Kluyveromyces lactis: one gene and its partner. The protein of the gene in region 2 purifies or fractionates together with the protein of the main gene of each other region. This does not show direct contact. Links are inferred from orthologs where the notes say so. Each region holds a gene or a part of one and is shown on either strand. Other genes may lie near its edges.

What was found.
Region 1: the proteins of KTI12 (region 2) and IKI1 purify together in Saccharomyces cerevisiae (affinity purification with western blotting; 5 studies listed by BioGRID). This does not show direct contact. The link is inferred for Kluyveromyces lactis from reciprocal best matches to the Saccharomyces cerevisiae genes KTI12 and IKI1.

What each region holds. Positions count from the first base shown.
Region 1 is NC_006037.1:830,901-833,902, reverse strand, and holds IKI1 (Elongator subunit IKI1), read right to left. Parts: upstream 1,474-3,002; coding exon 586-1,473; downstream 1-585. Other genes in the region: GPI-anchor transamidase subunit GPI16, read left to right, coding at 1-448; ubiquitin-binding TORC1 subunit KOG1, read left to right, coding at 2,119-3,002. UniProt on the Saccharomyces cerevisiae protein: Component of the elongator complex which is required for multiple tRNA modifications, including mcm5U (5-methoxycarbonylmethyl uridine), mcm5s2U (5-methoxycarbonylmethyl-2-thiouridine), and ncm5U (5-carbamoylmethyl uridine).
Region 2 is NC_006042.1:271,997-275,033, reverse strand, and holds KTI12 (Kti12p), read right to left. Parts: upstream 1,842-3,037; coding exon 822-1,841; downstream 1-821. Other genes in the region: ATP25 (Atp25p), read left to right, coding at 1-693; putative GTPase MTG1, read left to right, coding at 2,040-3,037. UniProt on the Saccharomyces cerevisiae protein: Elongator complex-associated factor that is not a structural subunit but rather transiently contacts the complex.

The DNA of each region.
Region 1 (3,002 bases), on a different chromosome or scaffold from region 2:
AGATCGTGAGAGACCGACACATTTGGAAAGGGCAATGATTATCCCGCCTAACACTGCATTCGCTATATCATTCCAGTTCGATAAATCCTTGCTTAAATATGCAGAATATCCCCCTGATGCCAACCATGGTTTTGAGATCGAAGCTGCTGTTGCTGCAGTACTTACACCAGAACGTTATGAAGCCAGAACATCCTCCTTACTCTTATCTCTATCCACTCCTGATTTCAGTATGCCTTACAATGTCATCATTCTGACATCTACTGTCATGGGTCTAGCTTTTGGTACTCTATTCAACCTAATTTCTAAGCAACTGATAACCCTGGAAGAAGCTGATAAGATACTTGCATCGACAGGTCCTAGAGCAAAGCTGTTGCGCGTCAAAGCAAAGATTGTAAACATGCTACAGGGAAATAAAAACAAGATTATCAAAAGCGCTAAATATGAATAGCATTTCAGATTGTCAAAGCGTACACTTATATGAGTACATAGAACATATAGAGTAGACAGACAATTCCTATGTAATTGTGATAATCTCAACCACGAGAAAGAATTAAATGAAACTAGAATAACCCGAGACTCTAGCGATCAGAACGGATCTTCGTACGGGTCTTCTTCGTCATAATCATCATCCTTTTCAAACTCATACACAATTGCACCACCACTGTTGAAAGATTGAGCTTCAAGATATGGCAATTCCACTTGGTCTTTTGCCAGCTTCTGTTTCTCCGAAGTGTTCAAGTTGAATGTTGTTAAACCCTCAAACATTTCTGGACTTTCGTCCGTTACTGGTTCTTGTTTCTCTATCACATATTCATAATCATGTGTTTTCGAATTGATTAAGAACTTATTCTTGATAGCCCTACCGGACTTTCGCTTGTTCGTTAGAGTGATATAATATGTGGGATTGTTCAAGTTCTTGGGTATCACAAATCTACTTAAATCTGCATCCAAATCGTCCTCGTCTATGGAAGTCTTCGGAGTAACTTCTATAACCGTATTAGCAATAAATTGCAAGAGTTGGATCGCAGTTGGATAGTTCTGGAGTTCTGCTGGACGCCAGGCTGGTATCGACTGATGATATGTAGCCAATATTGTCACAAATGGCGATGCAATGGTAGATATGAATTGTGTCAAGCTTTCAGAACCGATATAATTGAATGTATCAAAGATCACTAAATGCATCTTAGGAGCTTGTTCCTGTGGCTGCGGTAGGTATGGTTGTAATGCTGCAACTAGTTGCTGGGTGGTTTTCCCCGACGCATCTATGAATTGGCGTGCATATTTCGGTCTATTTGGAGTCTCAAATGATACGAAAACGATCGGCATTTCGTCTGGTATGTTATCTAGGAATTCCTCAACCACAAATCGGCTGCTTTGTGCCATCGTATCGGTACATAGTATTAGCGAAGATTGTTCCTTCAGTGAGAACGTCCTCTTCAATAGAACTTTGGGATTATTATTAGTAGAAGCCATCTCAGAGAATAAAGAGCACGCAGTATATTCGTGATAGATCAGATACCCTGAAAGAATGCTGTAACAGTCGAAATAGATGAAAACAGGCTACTCATAAGTACTAGTTCCCCGCATGAACCTTGATCTTATCTCATCTCATCGCCTGTCAAAGTGAATATTTCACCAAGCATTTGGTATGTGAAATTGCATATTTATAACGTAGATCAAAATAAAAACACATAAAAGTATCCAATAACGGTCCCATTTAGTGCACTTGAAAGCGCAAACCAGTAAAAGTTAGATAAACTGTGGTTATTAAATATCTGGGTTACAATCGAGGGGGTATTGAAGTGGTTGATATAACTTTATTGGATATCTTCCCAACGTTACCCTGATATAAAATATTCGGGTAACAATATACTCAAAGTGTTTGCGTAAAAATACTGTAAGCTCATATACAGATACTGGTCAGTAAGTGTGGAATGATTGGAAAGATAAGGTTTTTGAAGAGCATTTAGTGGGTTTGAAGTCAATTTAGCGAGTCTTCATTGACTAGCAGTTAGGTAATTACTATTTGTACGATTTTCTGCGTTTAAATTTTGTCAGAATCGACCGGTACTGCCACTTTTATCAGAACCAGTTGTGAATAGAACCAATCCTGAAGCAATGGTTGTTTACGGCCCACAGCCTTTGACACGGCTTAATACTGAGACTAGACATGGGTTTGAAGAGCAGTATTCAAGTGAGAAACTCTTGGAGGCGCATGCTAGCAATTTTATATTTTATTACGATGATAAGAGGCATCGAACCAATGGGAATCCAGTTCCTGAGGAAGTGAAGCAAGAGGATAAGGATGGATATTACCAGCCAATTCCTGATTGGAAAATAGTTAAGGACAGGCAGAAGACAGTTGCAGCAGCATTATTACTATGTTTGAATTTGGGAGTGGATCCTCCTGATGTGACTAAGACTCAGCCATGTGCAAGACTTGAATCATGGGTTGATCCCCTTGCATTTCAGGATTCTAAGAAAGCTATTGAACAAATAGGAAAGAACTTACAGAGTCAATACGAGACGCTATCACTACGTACTCGTTATAAACAGAGCTTAGATCCCTGTGTGGAAGATGTGAAACGCTTCTGTAATTCATTGAGAAGGGCTTCGAAAGACGAAAGAATTCTGTTCCATTATAACGGTCATGGTGTACCACAACCAACACCATCTGGAGAAATCTGGGTTTTCAACCGTGGATATACTCAGTATATCCCGGTTTCATTATATGATTTACAAACTTGGCTAGGAGCCCCTTGTATATATGTCTGGGATTGCAATAGTGCTGGTAACATTGTATCCAACTTTAAAAAGTTTGTTCAAAAGAGATTGAGAGACGATAGAGAAGGCAATCATGATATGGCATCACCTTCACCTACAGAAGCATACACTGAATGTGTGCAATTAGCGTCATGTGCAAACAACGAATTATTGCCCATGAACCCTGAATTACCCGCAGATTTTTTCACCTGTTGTCTAACGAATCCAATAGAAATATC
Region 2 (3,037 bases):
TCCAAAAGAAATAACATAGAAGAAAATACTCAGTTAGATGCCAGTACAATCAAAGAGTTTAACAGAGAACTAAACTATTTCATCAATGATTTTTTTAGGTTTAAGCAATTGGCATTATGTCAGCCGACAAGAGAGGAGTTAATTGGCTTTCTTGAAATTTGCATTCAACATCTCAAACTTTCGAAAAGCTATAACCAGCTGATAAGTGTGAATATGTGGATTCTCAAGGCCTTACAGTCATATCAATATAGTGATCCTAAGGTTGTCCATGATCCCAGGGTCATCAAACTTTTAGTTAAGTCAATGCATACCGAAAACACTAACCTTAACTCACTTTACGAGTATGTCAATCTCATCACAAATGAATTTGAGGTAAGATCATTAACAAATGACGTGATAAAAGAAATAATAACGACTTTGGTAGAAAGTGAAAACTGGCCGACTTTGTTTAAATTTTGGAAACAATGCTTGTGTGAGAGTGCTGTCGATAGTAACGTATGGGATTTCTTCATAAAATCATTATTAAACAAGAATGACAAAGTCATTTTATCAGATATAGTGGATAATGGTCATTTGTTATGGATTCATAGAAGTAAATTGGTGATAAGTGATGACTTAAAAGCGTCACTATCGAAGTTACTTGACCGGGTGGATGGTAGTCATACCAATATTAAGAAGCTACTAAAGCTGTAAATAGTTTATAGACAGATATGATATTATTCTGGAAGGAAATTTCCTTCATTATTTTAATGTGAGATAAGTGTTCATGTGAAAGATTATGTCGATCAAAGCGCTTTAAGTGTTGCCATGAGTTGAAGAATTCAGACATTCAAATGTTTGTTCAAATATTCAACGAATAACGGTTTTACTCTATCTTGCTCTAAGTTTCTTAATCTATTCATTGCAACAAATTGACGTTTTATTCTTTGTAATTGAGGCATGGAGCAATTTTGTAGTGAGAGATCGACATAAAGACAGTTTGGATCGTTTAAATCAGTATTCTCAGGAGTAAGAATTATTCTTGAAGTGCCACCACTGACCACATTTTGCTGCATATATTTCATTATAATCTTTATGACACTACTGGCCTCGGAGTCAAGTATTTGCAAAGAGTTAGTGTGAGAGGCAGCCTTCAATATCGTGGCATTGTTTGGCTTTAATTGTTGCAGGATCTTCTCAGTATCTCTATCATTCGTTGCCGGTTTGAACACGGTTGGGAATATTGCCTTACTAATATCTGTGTATAGGGTACTGATGTCATCTTGAGACGTCAATATAGTGAATAATGGAGAATCCCACCTTGTTTGAGGGTTTGGTTCTTCATACCTTTGAATAAGAGCATTCAAAAAATTGCTTTCCCAAGGTTTATGCAAATCAGTCTCTTTCTCATTCCATTCAACCAAGTTGCTCATTGGGCATACCGTGTGGATCAAACAATACGTTGTCATCACGTTTTTCACTTCACAGTGCAATTGATACCGGAATCCTTTTATGTAATTCAACGAATCAACAATGACGACTTTCTGACGAGAAAGATCTCTCTTCACCACAGACATAATCTTAGATCTTGCCCTTCTTTCTTCATTTGACCCAATATAATCATCGTGAGATATGTTTAAGGTTTCATCTGAATGGTATACAACAGAATAGTTTGACAGTTTATCGTTGGAATCGATAGTTTCCTGTAGTAACGTGACGAGTTTCTTGGCCACAGTTGTTTTACCGCTACTCGGAAAACCAGTTAGTAAAACCAAGGGCATTGCTGTACAGTCAAGAGGTTCTAAGTTCACTAGACGTTGCTGCAAAGTCTGAAACAATGATTGAGTTTTTCCTCTTTTCATGAGCTCATCGAGTATTTTCAAAGTTCTTGTTCTGAACGCAGTAAAAAGTAATTCTCATGTTGAAAGAAGCTTTAATGATCACCTATCATGATTCACCAAAAGAAAGTTGACAAACTACTGATTACTTCTTTGTCATAAACATTAACGACAACTCCATTAACTGTAATAGTTGTTCACAAACTTACTGTATTGGAAGATATGAACGTTTCGGTAAAATGTGTCAAATACTCAGGTAGACGGCTGCAGTCTACATTTGTACCAAGAATGGTATTCCCAGATTTCAATATACCAACAAGTGACTTCAAAGGACATCAAAAGAAAGCTATACAAAGAGCTCAAAATCTCCTTCCTCAGCTTAATCTTCTAGTTGAACTTCGAGACAGCCGGGCTCCAATAGCCACTAGGAACCTCATATTCGATTACTTGTCCTTAGAAAAGAAAGTTGACAGACTAGTAGTTTACACCAAAACTGATCAATGCGATCCTGCTATTATTGCATCATTAAATAAATGGCATAAGGAAATGGACGAACAATATATCATGATAGATGGAAGAAGCAAAAAGGGCGCTAAAGATCTCTTACATATATTAAAATGGAAGTATGATAAGTTTCTCCAGAAAAATGATCCGGGGAAGAAGACTGTGGGACTACCACTGGGTTATAGAATGCTAATTGGCGGCATGCCTAATGTTGGGAAATCAACACTCGTTAATAGTTTAAGATTTACTGGATATGCAGGCTTGGATCATTCGGATGGAAGCAAACCCAAGAAGGTTGCGAAGACAGGTGATCAGGCAGGTGTCACCAGGAACACTAGTGAATGTATCAGAATCAGTGATTATAAAGGAGGGTTGTTTCTATATGATACGCCTGGAATATCTTTACCTGCCAAAGCAATGAGCAAGCAAAGAATGCTATCACTCAGTTTATGTGGGTGCGTTAAAAACAATCTAGTGGACCCTGTGATTCAAGCAGATTTTCTGTTGTATCTTTTGAACCTACAGGGAAAATATCAATTCTACACACACTACACTACAACCCCTACTAACAACATTGACATTTTGTTGAGTGGCCTCAAAAAGCAAGTAGGAATGACAAACGAGAATGCTGCAGCCATCTATTGGACAGATTCTTGGAGACAAGGTAGAGTTTTAAAATCTGGGTTAAGATCTGGTTCTAAGAAGTCCTCTAAAGC